3 linked regions of the Ovis aries genome follow. The protein of the gene in region 1 interacts with the protein of each later gene in a biochemical or structural test. Links are inferred from orthologs where the notes say so. Each region holds a gene or a part of one and is shown in the gene's direction. Other genes may lie near its edges.

Region 1 (7,402 bases):
ATCAAACCTGTGTCTCTTATGTCTCCTGCAATGGCAGGTGGGTTCTTTACCACTAGTGCCACCCAGGAAGGCAAACCAGGGAATTCCATGAATCAATTCTCTAAAGTGGAGAGCAAACTCTGACTGGCACATGCCATCGTTTTTTTTAACTTACTTAAATTAAAAATATATACATTATAGTTTATTTACAATGTTGTGTTAGTTTTAGATGTGCCATAAGCTTTAATGAATTGAAAAACTGAAAGAGAAACTTCCAAAATCAAGGTTGGAGGATGTCTGGTGGAGGAAGGTGACTGTGTGTTAGATGCAGGCATGGCACACGTTGACCTACCAAGTGCATCCTCTCAAAGTCCGGGTGCCTGGTGCACAAGCTTACAAGACACCCCAGAAGCTCCCCCACGGATTCTCACCACAGGTTCCCCGAAACTGAGGCCTCAGCATCCCTTCTTCCTGACTTTCTTACAGATCCTCTCTTGGAGGTGTCAGGCCTGTCTTCTCATTCTGGCTGCTTGTTCTGGTCCTTCCTGGCTCCCTGCTGCCTTCTGGCCTAGGACCCAGTTTTTGAGAGGGCCTGAGACATTGATGGGTAATAGCTAGGAATCAAGATGCCCCTGTCCCACCTTTAATTGAGACCATGAACTAGAAAACTAGACTGGCATTCACCCAATTCTTGAGGCCAATCCAGGGGAAGCAGGGACCTGGAGAGGAGTATGTCAGTGACTGTGCCTGAGAAAGAGAAACTTTATCCAGTGCCTTCCTGGGCTTCTCCTGCCTCATATTGTTTAACCGTCTCAACAATCTGGGGACAAAGTGCAGACATGCCAATTCATACAGACGAGGAGACTGAGGCTCAGAGATGTGACCTGTCTTGACTAGATCACACTGGAACTGGAACCCAGGACATGGTTAGGCAGAAACTGGCACTGCTGTGCACTAACTGCTTAACCCCTCTGACTTTGTTTGCTCATCTGTTAATTGGGGGTAATCATGCACAACCCACAGGGTTGTTCGGGGGATTAAATAAAATAATACCCTGATTAAATAATGTGGCTCACACTCAAACTTCTGTACTATAATTAATGTAGTTGCAGATCCCAGGTTCCACTGGCTTTGCACCGCACAGTTTCTGCTGGAAGCCTTTTGCTTTTTTTTTTTTTTTTAAACATCATTAGCCCTTGCCTTACTCCTGGGACTTCCTGAGGACAAGGCCCTTTCTTCAGTCAAGCTGACCTAAACAGAGCCAGCCCTCCTGCCCCTCCCAAGCCACAGCTGTGAGTTGGAAAGCTGGATGCTGAGGCCCCTAATAAAGAGCAGACCTCCCAATCTCCTCGATCCCTCCCTCTCCCCTCACACGGCTTTCAAATTAAAAGTAACTAAAAGCTAAAGGTCTAACAGAAGGAGAGGGGAGTAGGTGGTGCAAAACCCTCTCCATATTGAGAAAGCCGTGCTCTCTCCCTAGGAAGAGGGTATCCAAGAATCCAGACCCAGGGGGGGTCTAGTCCCACCATGTCTTTCTCAGCTCTGGGGAGCTTAGTCCTTCCCTGGGCTCGTCAGAGTGGGAAACAGAGCTCACAGTCTATGGTCCTCGGGTCACAAAGCAGGCTCAAGTGTTTGGAACCCTAGCCCTAGCAGAGGCGCGGCTGGTCTCCAGCCACGGGGAATGGCTTTGGACTTCTCTTTGGAGACAAAGCTTTGAAGAGAAAGCCTCTAAGAACCCAGAAGAGACGCTGCACCCTTAGTCAGCCACCAGCAAGAAGATGAGGTGTTTAGGGGGACCCAGAGAGAACTGTCGCCCCAAGTTACACGAGCCTGTCTGGACCCTCTTTCTCCTCTTTTAATAAGACTTGGGCCTCTGTATTCTGAGCTGCAGAGACTAGAGCAAGCTTCCAAACCTCAGCTGGGGCAGACCCGAGGCAAGGGCGGGAACCCCACCATCCGCAAGCTTCCTCGGAGCCTTCCTCACTAAGGTCCCTTGCCGGCCCAGGGAGGTGTCTCTTGCAGGCTCAGACAAGAATTGAAAGAGGGTGGGAAATGGGACAGTTAGCGCCTCCCTCCGCCCCCCAGCCACCAAATGGCCCTTTATTTTCAATTCAGAAAGTTAGGGGGGAAAAAAAAAAAGCTAGAAGTGCGTCCCTCCCTCACCACAAACCCCCAACTTCATTTGAAAGGACCAACTGCGACTTGGCTTAAAGGTGATTTTCGCTACTATCGTCTTTGATAACTGCTGTAATCAGAGGTCTTCCAAAGCCCAAGTACCTTCTGAATTCTCCGAGGAAAGTAGAACTGGGGGGTGGAGCTGGAGCGCCGGGAAGAAGGAGAAGAGAAACAGAAAGCCAACTCAGCGGGGAAACGCCCACGAAACTCAAAGGTGTGACCCGGGGCTGCTGCCCGTCGCGGTCGCCCGGGAGTTGGGTAGGCGAGCCGGGGAGAGATTTTGGTTTTGTTTTCAGGGATCATTTGGATTTGGTTTTAAAAACTTCGGGTGGGGGGCTCTTTTTGATGGCTGGCTCTGCTCCATCTCTTGCTTCCAATTTCATTGTCGCCTGAGGGCCTAGATGCGCAAGGCCACGCCAGAACACCACGCTCCCCTAACTTCCCCTAACGTGGCTCATCTCTCGAGTTGGGCCTCCTTCCCAGAGGGTCGCAGCCGCCTCGACTGCGGGTTTGAGGGAAAAACCCTCATTCGTAATTCCATGATGATCTCTCAAGGGAAAAACACAAGAGGTGAAAATCAAAATCCGGGTTGAGGCTGGGACATTCGCTCAAGTACCCAAGCCGGCGAGGGTCACTCCTCCGGGAGCTCAGGGTGGTGGGTCCCCCGCAACGCCCCGGGCAGAAGCAGACAGAGAAGAGACCTCTCAGTTCGCCTCGGCCAGGAGGCATTTCTTGCCCGCTGCGGCTCCTGGACCACCCAGGACCCCGGGCATCGAGGGAGCAATCTGAAAGGATCTTAGAACAACACTGGGAGAGGGAAACTCGGCTCGCCCCACCTCTCCGCGACGCCCCTGTTGACAGACGCGCGCAGTCAATCCGCTGAACCTCGGCGGAGGGCGGACGGCAAGATTCAAACCCGCCTATGAGCAGTGGGAGGGGCGGGTGGGCAGAACTCATTTTAAGGAGCTAACCGCCTCTTTTTGTGGGCCTCCAGCCCCGAGGTTGCTCCCGACTAGTGGGTTTATTTTGCTTTTGCTGGGGAGGCAGATGTTGACCTCCCTCTATCTGCTCGGCCCAGGCTCGGGGAAATCTCCCAACCATTTGCTTCCCTTGCGCCACCCCCCACCGGTGTTCCATCCCCGGAGTCAGCTCCCCAGGCCTTTAAACCTTCTGGAATGTCACACATGGAAACCTTTAGCAAATGTTTGTTAATGATCATAACAAAGGCATCATTCAAATTAGGCAGGTAATTACTACCAGAAGGACGACTGAGTGCTTCCTTGCTCATCCGTTCTCTCTGTTTTAAACTCGCGAGGAGTTATGGCCCGAAGACACCCCGGCCCAGTCCACTTTTCGGGTCCCTTTAAGCGTCTCTGAAAGGAACTGTGAAGTTACCATTTGTGGGCGGGGAGAGCAGAGGCCTGCGTCCCGGAGATCCCGGCTTGACCAGGCTGGCAATGTCGTAGCAGCAAAGTAGGCCTTACTGGGTAGGCCCTGCGCCCTGCCTCGCCTCCTACCCTCTCGAGTCCGTGGTATAAAAATTTGCATCTCAGCTGGATTTTATTATTAGCATGAAATCCAGCACCCGCTTTCCCCCTATTATTCCGCACTCCGATTTTGGGGGGTTCTTTAGTCCCCGTTCGTTATCTACAAACATTACGGTATCCTGTTAGCATTCCGAACAAGGGGCTGTTCATATATTTGCCTTCAATGATTTCCTGAAGGAACATGTGGAAGTAATAGTGAGCAGTGCAGTCATCCGAACTGAAGATGCACGGGAGGCGGTTGCGCAGAAGGACTGGAGGAATGAGGCCCCTAGCCCAGCCTCAGGCGTCTTCACGAACCTGACACCCCAGGAGCCGGTCGCAGTTCCATACAGCACCCCTTCGAGTACTTCTCTGTGAACATCCCCTGCAGGCTGCTCCGTGTCCACTCTCTAAGTAAGGGAGAAGGTGATGGCTGTCCCACATTCCAGCCTAAACCAGGCCGCCCTGGCCACTGTCAAGTGTGTGTGTGGGGGGGGGGGGGGGGGGCAGAGTCGGGGGTGGTGGTAAAGGTTGAGCCCTCCACCCAACAAGAGAATTCGAAATTAGAGGAGGTGGGGAAGGCAATCGCGCTCCCCTCCCCCGCCCTCGCTGGGAAGCCCCACTCTGCCCAGGTCTGGTTCCTGGAGCGTCAGCGCCCCCTTTCTTTCGCGAGCAGGATCGCCCTCTCCCGGCTTAGTCTCCTGCCTGGGGCCCCAGGGCTAGGGTTGGGGGCTCCCTTCTTATCCCTAGTGTACCCGTACGGCCCGATCCACGCGTCGGGAGAGGGTGTGGGGAGAGTCAAATTGTACCCTCCCCCTGAACGCGGAGGTAGCAGGCTGGTTGTAGAAGATTCCGCAGACGATCAAGCCTGAGCCTTTTTGTGTGCGTGATAGAAGCCAGGACAACCTCGCCCAGATAACCATGAAAACAAAGGCAAGACAAGATAAGTGCTTTAAGAGAGTAAAGGTCGTTCTGTCGGAGAAAGTTCCAAACCTACGGCAGACCCTCAACTCTTTGTACCCTACTTCAAATCTGTCTTTGGACAAAATCAAACCAAAGCAAACCCCCTGCCCGCCCAAGAAAAAAAACCACCCATCATCTTCATATTAGACTCAACAGCTTGCCTAATCCCATTAAAGGATTAGCAACTATACGGCACTTTCCCTAAAAGACCCCAGGTTCAAGTCGACGCAACGGCTCGGAGACCTCTCCCGACGGCCGGGATTCTGGGTGGGTTAGGGGTTTCTACAGAAGGGACACTTCTTGACTCCAGATTTATATTCTCTTTGGGCATTAACTGCAATTTTACGTGTTCCTTTTCTTCCTTTCAAAGAAAATACAAAGCAACATAGCAGTGTAGGAAATTGTCCCCCGAAATCAAGAGGCAAACTCATTTTGGAAATGATGGGCAGTATGTATTTTCACGAACCTCTTTCTCGGCAGAGCATCAACACCTCCCCCTCCCCCCCACCCCATCTGGTCGGCTTCTCTCCGCCCCCCAGTTGTTGTCGAAGTCTGGGGGTTGGGGCTGGACCCCCTGATTGCGTAAGAGCGAAAAGCGAAGGAGCAATCTGGAGGCTGGAAGATTCAGAGCGCACGGAGTTCGAGGGAAACTCTTATTTTGAAGAGGCCAAGGGGAGGGGGGGGCTTCATTTCCTGACAGCTATTTACTTAGAGCAAATGATTAGTTTTAGAAGGATGGACTATAACATTGAATCAATTACAAAACGCGGTTTTTGAGCCCATTACAGTTGGAGCTAGAGGGAGAGAAACAGAGGAGGGGACTGCAGGAGAGGGCTGCAGGCCGTGGACACACTTTTTCCTCCTCATGTAGGATTTTCATTGCGAATTGACATTGGAGGAGAAGGTAAGGGAGGAGAAAAAGTATTTTTGTTTCTAAAAGAAATCCCTAATCAGGCTCTTTGGGCTAGAAGTGAAGTAACTTCAAACTTTGGGCGATGAAAAAAAAAAATTGGAGTCGAATTCTAGTTGTATGTCCAGAGAGTAATTTATTCTGAATAAACTTCACTTGGAGGGAAGATAACCATAGAGTTCGAAAGTCTAGGGGTTTAAAAAAACACATTTTCCAGACCTATTTTTAAAAGCAGTATTTTTCTAACAACTCTATGGCCTCCCAAAGAAATTGTTGAGGCTTACATTTTTGAGGTTTCTTTTGGGGGTTGGGGGTGATATTCCTGTATCCTGGGACGAGCACCAAGCAGTGCTGGGAGTGGGGGCAGAGGTGTTTGCCCTCTTCTTGGCATGGAGTCCTGGAAGGCTACAGGTTTTTAATGAGTATTTTCATTCCTCGCCCGCGGTTTGGCGGGACAGCACTGTAGCCGGCGGTGTGGAGCGCGACTGGTGGACCGAGGGAGGTGGGGAGAGACGAACGCCGAGTGGGGAGCGGAAGGGGTTGAGGGGAGGGGAGGCGTGAAGGGCTCGGCTGGAGAGGGCCGGACCTGGGGTGCCCATCGGGTGCACATGGCGCCGACCCAGGGCGCATAGTTACTGGAGGGTGCTGCGCCCGGTAAGGGCCAGACTCAGTACAACCTTGGCGGCTGCGAGACGAGCGGAGGGGGCGCCGATTTGGGCGAGGGTTTGGGGATCAGTGGTTTGCGGCAATCAGTGAACTGCGAGGGAGAGAGGGCGCCAGCCCCGCAGCGCGCTCGGATCGCGCGCTGTAGCGCGGGGGCGACGGCGGCGCGGGCTGGCGGGCAGGCAGGCGGTCTATGGAGTAATGACAAACACATTTGGCCCCGAGTGAAGAAGTCGTCGTCGCCTCGCATTCCAGCAACTGGGATTTGAGGAATTTCGAACTGCGCTCCTAGGGGCCCTCATTGTGCGCGGTGGTCTCCACCCCCAGCAATCTCTGCGCACCCCCATTCCTCGGTGGAACCGTTTTTGCCAAGCCCGGAGCTCTGCTGCTACCCAGTCCCAGCCGCAGGAAGGAAAGAAAGAAGGTCGCCAAAAAAAAAAAAAAAAAGTGGAGAACTTCTTGTGGGGGAAGTTAGGGACAACTCGGAACGGAGAAACTTGGTTCTCAGGTAAGACAGATATATGGGAGGCGAACCGCCCTCACTGCTTGCCTCGGGGTACCCATGCCCCTTTCCGCACGGGGGTGCGGGGCACTCGCCCCTGCACTGGCCCAGCGCTGCTTCACCCTCTCCAGTGTCCCTGTATCTATTTCACTCCCTGTGCCAGCCTCTCTTCGCTCCGGAGCGGTCTCCTTGCGCCCCACCTTCTTCCATCGTCTATCCTCATGGAAATAGGCTTTTATACATGAGATTAACTTCTGCAGACAGCGCAAAGGGAGCGGGCAGCTTCCCCTTGGCTCGGAAACAACTGGGATCAGCGGTTCAGTTCGGAAAGGGTCTCTGTCAGTTCAGAGCGAGAGGGAGTGTGGCTCGACCGCTGCCTAGAGGGACCAGGTATCTCGGCCTCCTGGCCAGGTGTGAAGTAGCCTGGCCAAGCGTCTCAGCCTTGTCTCTCCCGCAGCCAGAGTGCCCTCTCCACACTTTGTTCCCCCCAGCCCTGCTAGGACCCCAGGACGTGCAGAAAGAGTGCTTAGAAGAACTTGCCATCTCCAAGGGTGAGAGACAAACGGAGGCTGGAGAGGGAGCGCAAATGACCCTTACCAGGTCCGGACTGCCCCGCGCCCGGCCCGGCCGCCTAGAAAAGCCCCGGGCTGCGCTGTGTGGGAAATGGCTTTTTGGCTCTTCAAT
Region 2 (7,438 bases), on another chromosome or scaffold:
GACGACAAATGTTTCCACCCCCCATCCCCAAAATGTCCCATGCTTCTTGGAAATCCCTCCCTCCCTCCAATTGTAGATTTCTCTCCAGTTTTGAGATAGGGAAGGAAATCGAGGGACTGAGAAGTTAGACTTCCCAGAGACACTTGGTCAGCAAGTGGCCACGCCAGTATTTGAACCAAGATGACCTGTCCCCGGCCAAGCTGCCTTGGCGGTAATGGGAAGAGGGTGGGAGCATGTGGTGGTCTGTAGAGATGTCCTCCCTCCTCACCGCCCCTGCTCACTCAGGCCCAAGAAGACAATCTAGGAAGAGACGGTGGGTGCGTCTCTCAGAAGGGTGTGTGCACATGTGAGGAGCAGGCTGCCACCCCAGAGGGATGTTTGGGTACAAAGGGCAGACAACAAAGACATCACAACGAGACCAGATAAAGGTGTCCTCAAGCCAGGAGCTGGGCGATGCGGTGAGCCTGCGGGCCTCATGGTGGGGTGCTGGGCTCGTGTGGGCGTGTGACTCTGTGACTGTGACCGTGTGACTGCTGAAGGCAGGGACATAGCAGCTCCCGGAGCTAGGGGGGCGGAAGGCGTTAACTGTATGAATGCTGGCGTGGGGGGGGGCCGGCGGCCTCCAACCTGGGGGCTGAGGGAGGTAGTAAACATCAGGGCAATTGGAGGAGCATGATGGCGACCCTACAAGGATGCTGCAGGGTTGTGGGGTTTGTGTGACTTTGCAGCTCAACAAATTCAAATTCAGCCAATGCTGGCAGCGCCTGTTGTGTGCCAGGCAACCGGCTAGGAGGAGAGGAGCGTGTGAGGCTTTCGGCTGCAGGGTTTGTGTGATCACCTTGTGCCTGGTTTGGGGCTGGGTACTTTTGCTCTCTCCAGGCACTAAGTCCTCACAGTCCACCCACCCCACTTTGAGGCGAGATGGAGGAGCACAGAGAGGAAGTGACTTGCCCAAGGTGACCCAGCTACTCAGCGCCAGGCAGGATTGCAGAGCCTGAGTCCTTCAGCACCACGCCTGGGCTAGGGCGCAAACCGCCGGTCTTGGAGGTATCGCCTTGGAATCCTGCAAGCCAGCGGCTTGGGAGACACCCTGGCCCCCAACCACATGGGCCAGAAACCAGGCCACAGACACTGCTGAGGGGCCCAGCGTTTGATGGCCCCTAGTTCTCCCTTGCCAGGGACCAGATTCCTGGGCAGACGGGCGGCGGGGCTTTCGGAGACCCCTAAGTTCCCCCTCCTCGCCTCAGGCCCTCCTGGAGCTCTCCCCACCCTCCCGTTACTGACTCTCGGCCAGAAGAGGAAAAGCTGTCTCCACCCACCTCTCGCACTCTCCCGTCTCCTTTATAAAGGCCGGAACAGCTGAAAGGGTGGCAACTTCTCCTCCTGCCTCCCCGTGCGCCCGCAGCCTCCCCCGCTGCCTCCCCGAGGGCTCCCCTCTGGCCGCCAGCGCCCATCTTTCATTCCCCAGATAGAGATATTTTGCGCGCACACACAGACACACACGCGCAAAAAAGGGGAAAAAAAAAAAAAGACAACCCACCCTCCAGCCTCGTTGCAAAGAGAAAGCCGGAGCAGCCGCAGCTCGCAGCCCGCAGAGGACGTCCAGAGCGGCGAGAGGGCGGGCAGACGGACCGACAGACTCGCGCCGCGTCCACCTGTCTGCCGGGCGCGGCCCAGGGCGCAGCGGACACGCCGCGCGCGCGGAGCAGCCGTGCCCGCCGCCCGGGCCCCGCGCCAGGGCGCACACGCTCCGGCCCCCCCCACCCGGCCCGGGCGGGAGTTTGCACCTCTCCCTGCCCGGGTACTCGAGCCGCCGCTGCAGAACCAACTTTGGAAAAAGTTTTTTTGGGGAGACTTTGGCTTTGAGGTGTCCAGCTTTGCGCTTTCCGACTTCAGGGACCTTTCCAGAAAATGTTGCAAAAAAGCTAAGCCAGCGGGCAGAGGAAAACGCCTTTAGCCGGCGAGTGAAGACGAACCATCGACTGCCGTGTTCTTTTTCCTCTTGGAGGTTGGAGTCCCCTGGGCGCCCCCACACGGCTAGAAGCCTCGGCTGGTTCGCGACGCAGCCCTCCGGCCGTGGATGCTCGCTCGGGCTCGGGATCCGCCCAGGTAGCGGCCTCGGACCCTGGTCCCGCGCCCAGGCCCTCCCCAACCCCCCAACGACGGAGCCCGGGCTGGGGGCGGCGGCGCCCGGGGGCCATGCGGGTGAGCCGTGGCGGCGGCTGCAGCGGCCTGAGAGCCTGATCGCCGCAGACCCGAGCAGAGCCCACCTCCCTCCCCAGCCCCCGCCCCCCACCCTGGCCGCGGGGGCGGCGCGCTCGGTCCACGCGTCCGGGGCCCCGCGGGGCCGGGCCCGGAGTCGGCATGAATCGCTGCTGGGCGCTCTTCCTGTCTCTCTGCTGCTACCTGCGTCTGGTCAGCGCCGAGGTGAGTTGCGACGGCGGCTGGGGCTGCTTCGCTTCATTCATTACCCCCATCCCTGCCTCCCGATCGCCCCCTCCCTTCGCTGCAGTGAACTTTGGACCCGTGGGCTTGGCGGCGGGCGTGAGGTGACCTCCGAAGGCTGCAAAGCGAGGTCCGGGAGTGCTAGGCTCTAAGGGGAGGGGCAGCCGTGGCTTTCTTTTCCCTGGGGGGATCTCAGATCTCCGATCTTTTAAGCGTCAGGGGAGGAGGTGTGTGTGGTCCTGTCCCCCACCCCTCCAGGAACCCGAGAATAAGCCCCTTCCTAGCCCAAGCGAGAGGGGTGGGGTGCTGCCTAGGCAGCAGGCAGCGCGTCCTCGAGAGCCCACTTCGGTTAAGCTTAGGTCCTGCCCAGGACCCGGTTTGCCCTGGAGGTGCGAGCTCGCGCACGGGTGGCAGCCACACCAAGCTTCGGCGGGGGTCTGCGAACTACCCCGGCTCCTGCTCCCGGTCGGGGCGGGTGCCCATCGGGCCGTGCAGGTCTTGCCCGGCCCCAGAGTGCAGTGTCGGAGCCGCTTGCAGTCTACGGGCGCGGTGGGTGCAGTGAGAGGTTTGGGGCACCTGGCCTGAGGGGCGGAGCAGGGGCTTGTAGGGAATCCAGCCCCGGTGGCGGTGTGTGCCTGAGGCCGCGCCATACCTGCGCCCGCACCCTGCGAGAGGACGCACCTCTCTTCCCCCGACCGCAGGGTGCGGAGCGCGCCGCCTCGAAAAGCCCCGCAGCAAGGAAGCTGGGATAGGGAAACGTCTGCGGGAGCTATCAGATCGTACGGGTCCCCCGCACCCCTCCCAGCCTCACGTAGCAGTGAGTTGGCAAGTCTACCCGGAATCCAGGTGGGAAAGGGGGCGGGGCAGGGAGGAGGCGCGAGGTGCCGGGGAGGAGAGGGCGGCGGGCCGCGCGCCGCTCCTGGGTCCCGTCCCGCCAACGCTCGGCCGCGGCCGGGAGCCCGCACCTCGCCCGCTCCCGGGGGGAGGACCGGCCGCTCTCGGCCTCCGACGAGGCGCAGGAAGGAGGCGGCGGCGGCGAAGGGGTTAAGGTGAAGAGCTCCGAGGCCGCGGCCGGGCCTTGGGCCGCCGCCAGCGCAGGTTGTTTTGACCACGGAGGAGCCGTCGCCGTCTCCTTTTGTTCTCGGGGCTCCTCGAGGGCCGCCGGCCGCCCGCCCTGGGGCCCCGCCCTTCCGCGGCCACCCGCCCCCCCCCCCCCACCCCGGCGGCAGCACCCGGGAGGGAGGACGCGGGGCTCGGCCCGACCGCCTGCAGGCCCCTCCCGACGTCCCCTCCTCTCCGCTCCCGCAGCCCCCCGGGCCGCGGCCAGCTGTTGGGGAGGGGGGCGCCGGCCGGCCCCAGCTGCCGCCTTGCCTCGCCGCGGGGCCTGGGGGGCTGGGCCCGGTGCCAGGGCGTCCTGGGAACCGCGGCAGCGCCCCCGCCTCTGCTCTCCGCAGCCCACCCCGCCCGGCCCCCCGACTCGCGCTCACTCACCCCACGCATGCACACTCTTGGCCGGAGGCGATGCTGCGCTCCGGCGGGCGGGCGGGTGCGCAAAGCGACGGGCACGCACTACCGCGGCCGGGTCGCGCGCCCGCCGCCGCCGCCACGCCCGTGCACACGCGGGGCACACGCGCGCGCACCGCATACACACGTACGCACGGCCCCCGAACACGCAGCTTCAGCACACGTGCGCGCACACCCACGCACGCACACAGGCACGCAGGGCTCGTATACCCACCCTGTACCAGGTTCCCTCCCCCGCGCAACAGGTGGCCCTGGAACCTGGTCACCTCTGCAGCCACCCCATTTCCTTCCTGGGTCCGATGAGGGGATGGAAACAGGAACCCTCCCGTCAGGGTCCGGCTCCACGGCACGCGCTGGTTTTTGCCTTGCCAGGTCAGCCCCACGCCCCTCAAGCATGACCCCTCTGTAGCTGCTTTTTCAAACCATCCTCAGGTGGCCGAAAAAGATGTTGTGTGACTGGGGCCGTTGTGATGTCCAGAGCACTTCTCCCTTCACATAGGCCCAGCTTTGAACCTCCAGCCAAGACTGTGGGCCCTGAACCGCTTGAGGGGGTTTCCCATCCCTGCCGGCTCAGTCGTCTTTCCCTCCCCAGCCGGCTCTGGGGAGGCTGGGTGACAGCTGGAAAAGGCCTCTGCAGGCCTGCCCTTTCCATTTCCAGCTTCATCCAGCACCTCCTCCTCCTGTTCCACAACTCCATGGGGGTGTGTGCTTGGTGCGGAGGCTCTGGCCAGGAAGCTGGTGCCTCTCTCCTCACTTGAATCACAGCATCCTTGAACGTAGTCTTCAGGAACTCACGGTTGTGTCGTGCTTTGCAGTTTATGAAGCACTTTCCTGCAGAGCCTGAGTAAGCCTCAGGAGGCTCTGAGGGAGGAGACCTAAAGGGAAAAGGGAAAACCCAGTGACATGGGAGCCAATCCAGGAGGGCTTCCTGGTGGAGGTAGCCTTGAGGTTGGTCCTGTCCCCTGTATGCCAGCAGTTGGGAAGGAAGAGTAGGGAGCTCTGAGGTGGGGCCTGGTTGAGGGTCGGCTGAAGTCCATAAGGTCTCATCTCCATTAGCTGAGCTGGCTTCCGGGAGGGTGACACTCATCATCATGTGATGCCTCTGGCCTCAGCACCCTTCTGCCAAGAAGAAGTGAAGGGCCCACAGACCTTCATCACCCAGCTTCTTTCTTATTTGCTAATGCTCTTACTTAGTGGGAGACTGACTTGCTGGAATCTCCCAACCCTAGAAGTGTCTGCAAGCTTAGGATCAAACAGAATTTGAAGGCTCTGGTGCAAGACCTAGGAACTGTGTGTGTGTATGTGTGTGTGTGTGAGAAAGATTGATTCAGCAGAAGTAGAAAAGAAATAACTTGCCATGGACCTCCTAAGACCGTCTCAGAATCTTCCCTCACCACCCCCTCTTCTCCATTGAAGTACCCCGTCTAGTGCAATTATCTTCATTTTCTGATTTATTTGGTTGTTTCTTACCCATTTTTCCTCACTGGAGTGTAAACTCCACTAGACAGCTTTTGTCTTGGTCACCACTGTCTCCCCTGCTTAGAATGGTGCCTGGCCATGATGGATAATCTGTAAATATTTGTGGAGAGGACAGTGAATCCTTGAAGGGGGGAGGGAAGGACCGGACGTGTATCTCAGGCTTGCTAAGTGCTTTATAAACACGGCCTCATTCCGTCCTCACCCAGGGCAGCCCAGTACAGCTCTCCTGCCCTCCAGCAGACATCTTCGAGTCCCCCGCAGCATCCCCCAGTCTTGAAAGACAAGCATCTTTCTTTTCCGTGTCTTGGGACTTAGACTGCCAAGACTGGACTGGACAGAGGGGAAGAAACAGAAGCAAAGTGAGATCACAAATAGTTCTGGGTGTTTTGAGCTGGGCCTCAGTTTCCACCATCTAAAAGCGCGCGCGAGAGAGAGAGAGAGAGAAGACTAGATTAGCTCAGTTTCTCAAGAGCAGCAGAATTACCTGGTCTCTTGAAAATGCAAATTCCTGGGCCCCACTGGATGCTGGGAGTTGGGATCAGGGTGGTGGTGGTGGCTGGGGGCAGTGATTGCGGTGGACTGCCAGGATTGTAATTGCTGCTCTGGCCTCTCTCTCCCGTCTAACAGTTTTTCTGCTGGAAGGAGAGGAGGGAGCCCACTGGGGTAGCTGGTGGGGGTGGGGGCTGGGCTAACCGTAATAAGGATGGGGGAGAGGGAGGGTCCCAGGAGCAATAGGGCAGGGAAATGCTGGTGGGAATGGCTGGTTCTAAAAGGCTTCTATGGTCTGCCCAGAGAAGGCTTCTTCAAAGGGCTTGGCTTTGGCATCGAATCTAAATCAGGCCCGAGACTCTCAGGCAGGCGGGTGCTCCAAGGCCTTCTTCCTCTGCCAGCCACTGACAACGCCCCTGGTTGCTTGGGCCAAGCCCTTGTCGTCTCCCACAGCGGAACTTCAGGCAGCCTGGGGAGTGTGTATCTGTGTGCGAGCGCTGAGGCCCAGGCAGAGGGTGGGGTCCAAGCCCCTTTAATCTGCCAGCCTGACTGGGAGCAGGTAATTCACCTGGCCTCAGCCAGCTCGTGCCCTTCCTACCTCTGCAGCTGGCGTTGGGGGTGGGGTGGGGTGGGGTGGGGAGGAGGCTGTTTGCTTTGGCTCCCGAGGAGGCTGGCTGTGCCCCAGCTGCCTTCTCTCGCCACGCCCTCGCCCTGCCAGGAACCCCAGGCCTGAGATCTGGGGCAGCTTTATCAGGGTGCCAGGCCTCCTTTCCCATTTCTGAGGGGGAGCTTCCCACCTTAAGGAGGTTTCTAGAACCTGTGCTCAGGAAACCCAGGCTCTTTGCTGCTCACCCTCCCACGCCACGAGGAGACTCTGACCCCCCGCAGGCGCCCCGAGTCCCCGCAGGGCATCGCATCCTGGAGCTGACCACAAGGCAAAATGTCCCCACCTCTCAACCACCCCCAGCCCCGGAAGGGACTCACCCACCAGCCTACAGGGCCCCCCGGCAAGTGCCAGTGTGGGGCTCAGGTGTCATTTCCTGTGGTTCGCACAGTCACATATCTCCCCTGGGTGGGCAGCTTTCCACCCACCCACTGTTATCCTCAAAAATGTCCTGCACTGCTGGCCCCACGCATGCGTGCTGCTCACTGCTGCCCTCAAGGAGCCACACAGAAGGAATGGATGCGGACCATAGCAGGGCTCATTAACTACCCATCAATCTGTTGGCTGCTCTGCAAGGTCTGATTCTACCTGCCAACCCCTGTGAGGTATTGTGAGCCCCATTTCAAAGATAAAGAAGCTGAGGTTTTAGGTTGTTAAAAGACTTAACTCCCTGACTTCCCTGGTGACCCAGGGTTAAGACTCTGTTCTTTCACTGCAGGGGGCATGGGTTTGAACCCTGGTGGGGGAACTAAGATCCAGCATGCCACAAGGCCAACAAATAGATAAATAAAATACTTACTCCAAGAACCCCGGTTTCCATGACAGCTGAAGCCTTTG
Region 3 (7,564 bases), on another chromosome or scaffold:
TTCCGGGCTCTGCGTGTCCCGGCCCGTCTGTCCCGCGCTCCATGCTGTTCTGACGATCCCGGCGCCCTGCCGTCTGACCTTCCTCTTCATGCTCAGAGCCTGTGCGCCTCTTCGTTCTGGGAGCATGGGTGCTCACCCCGCAACTCTGCCTCTTTGGGGCACTCTGATGTCCTCCCCCCGCCCTGCCCGTGAGCCAAGGTCGCCTCCCTGCCGACCCCGCGGGCGCTGGTCGGGCTTGCGCCTCTGCTCCGGGAGGTGCCGGCCTCCCCGCGGGAAACCTTTCCATCCAGTGAGTCCGTCTCTCTGGAGGGACATGCTCTCACCATCTCTCCTCTAGGAGGCCTGGGAAGCCAGCAATGCCTCTCCCCAACCAACCTGTGAGCCCCAGACTCCGGCCTCCCCCTGGGGGCTGAGTCCCATCAAATCTGGAGGCTGTCTACACTCCTCACCCCATCCACAGCCCGGACAGAGGGATGGGGCCGCCAGCAGCCCCTGGGGAAGAGGAGTGCGTTGGCTCTGGGTTCAAGCCAGGTGACCACCAGACTTGAACCTTGGAGCTCACGTCTAAGAGGCAGGAACTCGGCCATGAATCCTGAAGACAACGGTGGGGTGAGGTCTGCCACCGGGGCCTGGCCAGTTGGCAGGCGGCTGTGGGGGACTGGTTTCTCTTTCTGCCCCCGCATGTGTTGGTTCTGCCCCCTAGAACAAGCCCACGACCCTGACACGGTCGCGAGGTCTGTGGGACCTGCCCACCGCCCACCAGTCCCAGCTCATGCCCTCCTGCTGGTCCTCGACACGCCTCGCCGGTTCCTGCTTCCAGGCCTTGGCACAGGCTGCTGTAGGCTGTGTGACCTTTGCCTAGAAGCTTCCATCCTGATCTCGGCACTGGCTCCTTCAGAAGCAGGCCTTCCTGACCACCCCAGCTCCCTGACCTGGAAGCGCGGGCGCTGGCCACTTGCTTGCTGCTCCCTGGAGAGACTGCCGGCGCCGCGAGGGCATCGTGTCAGCGCTGCAGCCCTGTGCCCAGCACGGAAGTACCTGCTGTGTGAGTGAGGGTTTCCGAAAGCAGCCCCACAGGGCTGGCTATTACCAGAGGCAGGAGGGGAGGCGCCAAGATGCTGAAGGGTTTGCTCAGGGTCATACGGCAGACGAGGCAAGCACGCGTGGTGGGCAGAGCAGGCTGCGGGGTGTTCTGGTCTCCAGGTGCTTCGGGCTTCCCAGGGCAGGACTTCCGCCCCGCCCCTGCCCTACTCATACTCACCGGCTTGGCTCCACCGAGGAGACAGGAACTCCGGATGCCCAGACCAGCCTTGTCCAGTAGAAACCTCACTAAAGCCACCACATTAAACACAGGACCGACAAATGGGTGAGATCAGTCGCAATAACAGTTTATTGACTTCATGTATCAAAAGTGCTATCCTTTCAGCAGGTAACAAATGTGACACTTACTAGTGAACATTTTTACACTCTTTATCTCTATACCAGGTCTCGGAGGCCGTGTGCATTTTACACAAACAGCACATACCAGCCACGTTTCAAATGCCCAGTGGCCTCCCGTGGCAGGGGGCTCCCATCCTAGACAGACCAGGTCTGGCCTCAATTCCTGAAACCCCCAAGTGCCCCTTCCCAGAGGTCTTCATTGACAAAATATTCACAGAATGATTGTAGGCCCATACGCTATGTAAAACCTCATTGCGGTTTGTGTGTTTAAAAGGAAAATATTTAATAGGGAGTTAAAACCAACACTGAGCATGGGGAGGCCGGACTGGAAAGGCCTGATCCTGAACCGGGGCCTGGGGCGGCTGAGATGATGACTTAATTAACACCCGCCTGGCACTTTTGATCTTCAAGGAGAGCTGCCCACTCAGCTGAGGCTGCTCCTGGATTAATTGCCCTGAACCAAGAAATCCTTGCCCAGAGATAAAGGGAAATACGGTGTTTCGTCATGACAAATTGTTCTGAGATCTGCTTTGGCAGTGGGCAGAGACCTGGGCCTGGACGCCCAGCTGGCCACCCAGGCGGAGGCAGCTGTGCCCGAGCCTGGGGTGCCAGGGCCTGCAGGCACGTGTGTGCGGCGATTGCCTCCCTGGGCAGGAGGCTGGGTGGTGGGAGACAGCCGTGCACAGCAAGGTTGCCGGCCCCTACTCCTCAGATGTGAGAACAGATTCAAGGCAGGGCAGGGGCAAAGTGCTCCAGCAAAGCCAAGGTCACGGGGCAGAAGGCAGCTAGCACCTCTCGGGACGGGGGAATTGAGGCCCTCACTGCCAGGGGGCCGCGCCATCCTTCGTGTCCCTCTGAAACCTGCAGGGCCAGCTGGCCTGAGAGAGCGCCCACCCCCAGCACTGGGAGAGCTGGCCCAGGAGTGGCTGTCTGGGGCTGCGCTCTGGGGCTGTGGGCAGTGCCCAACTCCCTGGCATCTGTAAGAGGGGTGGTGGGGCGGCTCTCCACCCGTAGGGGCCACTCAGAAACCCTCAGAAACCGAGGCGTCCAGTGGACGTTAGTCATGACTCCCACTGCAAAAAAAAAAAAAAAAAAACAGATAAAAGGATGATAGCAGCAATGGAGTGCCAGCTGGTGCCAGGCCCCAGGCCAGCGCTGCACGAGCGGTGAGGTGGGCTGTAGGGTGAAGGGTCCTGGGCTGGCCTCAGGTCCTTAACAAAGGCGTCCCGCTCTCCAGGAGCGGCCGGGCCCTTCCCGCCCCTCCGCGGGTGGCGGGAGGGAGGGGGGGTCATGGGCGGTGCCCAGAAGAACCAGCGAGGGGCAGACGCGCAGCCACCCGGATGCACCGGGAGTCCCTCTCTGCACCTATTTGTAGCACCTGACTCACCTTAATTATGGGTCCGCGACACGTCGGGGCGCGCCGCCGGGGACGCTGCAGATGGCCCGGAAGCACCAGCTCCGGGGGCGACCGGACATCCCGGCCTGCCAGGTGCGCCTTCACCTCCCACCAGCACTTACCCTCTCTGGAGCTCCCCCCCAGGGCCCCCTTCTTCCGCCTCGGAGCCGTTGGCTGCCAAGGGGCGCCCACAGCCTGCCAGGGCCGCGTGTCCTGGGCCTGGGCTCCCAGCTGTGTGTGTGGGGGGGCGGGGGGGTTAGGGTGGGAGCATCGGGAACCGGGAACTGGTCGGGGTCGAGCCGGACTCTCGGCCTGGGCGGGGATGCCCCGCGGAGCCCCGCCCTTGCGCTCTGCGAGGCCGCCCACGCCTCCTCCGACTCGAGTGTATATTTAGCCTCTTTATCAAGTGTTTGCAGTGAACCGTGTGAACCGCCTAATAGCGGCTGGAAGTGAAACTCGATTCCTGGGCAGAAAGGAGCACGTGACCGCACCTGAGCAGCCAGGATCGCAGGACAGGCGGGCTGGGCAGGTGCCGGAGCGCCCACGTGCCTGGCTTCGGGACCCAGGGTCCCCTCTCCCGCCGCCGAGCCTCCATCTGAAACCGCCTCCCTACTCAGCCCCTTCCCGAGAGATGAGGATGCCAGGCTCTGAAAGGGGAAGGGGCCTCGGAGAGAGGCGCCAGGGTCGGGGAGTCCCCGCACGCGTGGATTCCCGTCCTGGTTGTTGATTCTTGCTCAAGTCGATTCAAGGTCTAGGAAACAGCGGCTAGCGATCTACTTTTGCCGGCTTTTTCGGAGGGGGGAGGGTGGGGGAGGGCTGTCCTTGGTGGCAGGGCAGACCTTGATGGACCAGTGTGAGTCTGCCCTGAGTCTCCCCCAAAAGCGGCTGTCACCGGCTGCACAAGTTTGTGCCACCCTGGGCAGCCGCTGTTGTCGTGGTCGCTATGACAACGAGCCGAGGTTTTATTTTTAATAGCCGCCAGAGATTAGAAGGATGCCTCCGTTGGCGCGCCCCCTCCCCCCCCCCCAATCTCGCCTGCTCTCTAACTTTGGCCTGGGCTCCCGTAGAAGATGCCCCCATTCCATGTTCCCAGATCTTTTCTCTTCTGCCCCAAACCCACATTTCTGTCCCAAACTCAAACTGGGAGCCCCTGAATTTCCAGGCTGGGATGGGGCACCGAGCGAATCACTTGCTCAAAGCTGGTGGGACCGCCCCCGCCCCCAGGACCTAGGGAACCTCTGTACAGAGGTTGGAGCCAGAAGGGCCCCCACCCCAGCCCCTGCAATACAAGGTGACCTTTCCTCATCCGCACACCCGCCATCAAACCAAGTCCTTCAGCCCTGAAGACGTGTGGGTCCTCAGGTCCCCTCTGCCTGTGAGGAACTGGACGCTCAAGCCGGTGTGATGCGGTCAGCTCTCAGGAAATCTCTGGGCTCCGCCAGGGGAACAGCCTGAGTCCAAGCAGTGTGCTCTTCGCCTTCTGGAAACCATTCAGCGGACTCCCTCCAGTGCAGTGGGAGGTCTACTTAGGTGGACAAGGACAGTACCAAGGCTTCCCGAGCTCTGCCTCACCCTCCTTTCTAAGCCCCGAGTGCGTGCTTTGGGGGGGAGGCTGCAGGTGAGGCTAGCAGCGGAGAGGGGCAGGTGCGCTGGGGGACTGAGTGCTGGGAGACCCTGCCCGCTGGGAATCCCAGGGGGGGCCCACCCCTCCTCCCCGGAATCTGGGGGAAGCTGAGGGACCCCCCCCCCGCCCCCCACCGAGGGCCCACTGGACTCGGCCTTTGAAATGCTGGAGCCCAAGAAGCCAAGGATGAAAGAGGGCCTGGAGCGTTGTGTCTTTACTGCCTTTGGCTGGAGGGCAGCCTGGGCGGGGGCAGGGGCCCAACCCGGAGGATGGGGGTGTGGGGTGGAGGGCTCGGGCCAGCGAGGTTCTCTTTCCGCAGCCCACCCAGCCACTCGCAGTCCCTAGCCTTTAATGGCCTCCCGTCTAGCTGCGGGGTCACTTGGCTCGTTACCCCTCTAGCCCTGATACCGGGGGCTTCTCCGCCCTTCTAGAGACCCGTCGCCAGGGTGCGGTCCCACCTGCTTAGGCAGGCGGGAGGGACCCAGCTCGGCGCACCGCCCTTCGGTGGCGGGGGCGCCGTCCAGCCCCGCTCAGGCCTCGGCCTTCCTCGCGTCGCTCCCCCGCATCGCTCTGTGCGGCGCCGCGGCCGGAGGTGGCGCTCTGTGCGCCCAGCGGATCCCGGCGCGGGAGGCTGAGACTCCCGGGCTCCTCTCGAGCGGCTCTTTTCTTTTCCTCCCTTCCAGCCCTCGAGTTTCTGGCTCAGACCGCCGCCAGGCCTTCCACGAGGGCGCGGGGACTTGGGGGTGCGGGAGCCCAGGGCGGGGACGAGGCCCGCGGCAGCCCCCTCCTCCGACCGGGGCGCCTTCCTCTCCCGGAATGTGGGTGGAGGTTCCTCGTTCAGACGCCCCAGGCATCGGATTCCGGGCGGGGGCGCGTGGCAGCCGCCAGGTGAGTGTCCCAGACGCGCCCCTAAACCCGCCCCACCTCTCACCAGAGCCTCACTCCCCCTCCTTTTATGGCGGGGGAGCCGGGGGCCCGGGATCCAAACCGTGCAGAGGCCGGAGCACCAGGGCGGGGGGCGGGAGGCGGGGGCCGGCTCGCTTTTGCCCTTTTTGGCGTAGCAGCTCTGGGCGCTGCCCTCTGCCGCCGCTGGGGCCCGAGAGAGGCGAGCCGGCGACGGCGGCGCTTCTGCGGCCGCCTCCTCCCCTCCCCGTCCGGTGCTGCAGGGCTGCAGCTGGCACTGGGGGGTGGGCAAGCTCGAGGGAGGGGCGCCCGGGGAGCCACGGGCAGCGCGCGGAGCCCCGGCGGCTGTGCTCGGGGCCGGGCCCGGGGCCTTGATGGGTTTTACTGCCTGCGCGAGCGCGTGTGTGTGCTCACTGCGGCCGCGGCGGGGCCCTGCCCGGCCCGTTCGGCCCCCGCGCGCTTCCGAGGTGCGGGTCCGGGGCCCGGAATCCGGGGGAGGCGAGGGGGAGGGGGCGGGGGAGGGGCGCGCCGCGGCGCTATAACCCCCTCCCCGCCGCCGGCCGGCTCCACACGCGCGCCCCGCGGAGCCCGCACAACTCCGGCGAGCCGGGCCTGCCCGCGCCGCCTCCTCCTCCTCCTTCTCTGTCGGCGGCGGCGGCGGCGGCGCCGGCTCGGCCCCGGCTCGGCCCTCAGGCCCGCGCGGCGAGGCCCCGGGCGGGCGGCGGCTGCCAGGCGGAGCGGCCGCGGGCGCTGCCCGGCTCGGGCCGGCGGAGGGCGGAGGGCGGAGCGCTGCGCCGGAGCCGAGGGCGCGCCGCGGAGGGGCGCACGCAGGCCGCCGGGCCGCGCCGTGCTGGGCCGCGCCGTGCCCGGCCGGGCGGCGGCGGCGGCGGCGAGAGGAGGCCGGAGGCGAGCGCGGGGCCGCTGGTGGGCGCGCAGGGCCGCCCGCAGCCCGCAGGGAGAGCGCGAGCCCGCGCCGGGCCTGGCCGGGCGTCCAGACAGGTGATGGGTGGTGCGGCGGCAGCGGCTCCAGCCTCGCTCCGGGGTCCCTTTCGGGGCTGACGCCCGCAAATATGCAGAATTACCGGCCTGGTCGCTCCTAGAGCCAGCGCCGGGGAGCGAGCGCGGCGGCGGCCAGCACCGGGAACGCACCAAGGAAGAGGCCCAGCCCCCGCCCTCCGCCCCTTCCGTCCCCACCCCCTACCCGGCGGCCCAGGAGGCTCCCGGCGCGGCGGGCGCGGCGAGCGCGCACTCCCTGCTCCTCCTCCTCTCTGGCGCTGCCTGCCTCTCTCCGCACTCGCTGCTCGCGCCGGGCGCGCTCCGTCGGCTCCCTGCTCTCCGCGCCACCCTCCTTCGGGCCGCGTTCCCTGAGGGATGGTACTGAATTTCGCCGCCACAGGAGCCCGGCTGGAGCGCCCGCCCCGCGGCCTCGCCTCCCCGCCGAGCCACCGGTGCCTCGGGACGCGATGAGGACCTGGGCTTGTCTGCTGCTCCTCGGCTGCGGGTACCTCGCCAATGCCCTGGCCGAGGTGGGTGCCACCCCCGCGCCCTGTCCTTTCTCCGACTCCCCCTGCGCACGCCCCCTGAGGTCGCCCGAGAGCCCGGGCTCCGGGGCTCTGCAGGGCGCGTTTTGATTTCTGCTAGGGTGGTCGGTTTTAAAATTTTCCCAACTGGGTTCTATTTTCTGCCATGCCTAAGTGTGTCTGGTGAGTTTCCAGCGTGTTGCGTCGCTCCGCCGCGGAGGGACGGAGTGGCGGCTGGGTGGACGAGTGGGGAGAAACTTCGGGGGCCGCGGGCTCCTCTCCGAGGAGGGAGACCTAGGGCGCGGCGGACAATGCAGCATTGGGGTGCGGGAGCGCGGAAGGGGGTGTGTGTGTGTGTGTGTGTGTTTGTGTGTATGTGTGTGAGCCCGCGGAGCCGGGGAAGAGGGAAGAGCCCCCGACAAACTGGTAGGGGTGGTCGCAGCGGGAGCCCCCGGAAGGCAGGGTGAGCAGCGCGGAGCCGCAGACCCCGGGTCCCGGTCCCCACGCCCGGAGCGGCGGCTGGGCCGGCGCAGTCCCGCCCGCCCGGGGCCTGCTTACAGGTGGCTGAGCGAGGCGAGCCGGGGCCGGGCCGGGAGCCCTCGCCCTCCCACCGCCCGCGTCCCCACCCCCACCCCCACCCCCAATCCCAATCTCGAATTCCGAATCCTCGTGAGCTGTGCT

What was found.
Region 2: the proteins of PDGFRA (region 1) and PDGFB form a complex in vitro, tested with the Homo sapiens proteins (3 studies listed by BioGRID). The link is inferred for Ovis aries from reciprocal best matches to the Homo sapiens genes PDGFRA and PDGFB.
Region 3: the proteins of PDGFRA (region 1) and PDGFA form a complex in vitro, tested with the Homo sapiens proteins (2 studies listed by BioGRID). The link is inferred for Ovis aries from reciprocal best matches to the Homo sapiens genes PDGFRA and PDGFA.

Annotation. Positions count from the first base shown.
Region 1 is NC_056059.1:70,433,769-70,441,170, forward strand, and holds the start of PDGFRA (platelet-derived growth factor receptor alpha), read left to right. Parts: upstream 1-2,343; 5' UTR 2,344-2,412; intron 2,413-3,878; 5' UTR 3,879-4,094; intron 4,095-5,372; exon of another isoform or gene 5,373-6,724; intron 6,725-7,402. UniProt on the Homo sapiens protein: Tyrosine-protein kinase that acts as a cell-surface receptor for PDGFA, PDGFB and PDGFC and plays an essential role in the regulation of embryonic development, cell proliferation, survival and chemotaxis.
Region 2 is NC_056056.1:216,500,113-216,507,550, reverse strand, and holds the start of PDGFB (platelet-derived growth factor subunit B), read left to right. Parts: upstream 1-2,349; 5' UTR 2,350-2,364; coding exon 2,365-2,427; intron 2,428-3,976; exon of another isoform or gene 3,977-4,341; intron 4,342-7,438. UniProt on the Homo sapiens protein: Growth factor that plays an essential role in the regulation of embryonic development, cell proliferation, cell migration, survival and chemotaxis. Potent mitogen for cells of mesenchymal origin.
Region 3 is NC_056077.1:42,366,379-42,373,942, forward strand, and holds the start of PDGFA (platelet-derived growth factor subunit A), read left to right. Parts: upstream 1-2,743; 5' UTR 2,744-4,454; intron 4,455-5,032; exon of another isoform or gene 5,033-5,143; 5' UTR 5,144-5,276; coding exon 5,277-5,348; intron 5,349-5,538; exon of another isoform or gene 5,539-5,830; intron 5,831-6,192; exon of another isoform or gene 6,193-6,362; intron 6,363-6,653; exon of another isoform or gene 6,654-6,826; coding exon of another isoform or gene 6,827-6,889; intron 6,890-7,564.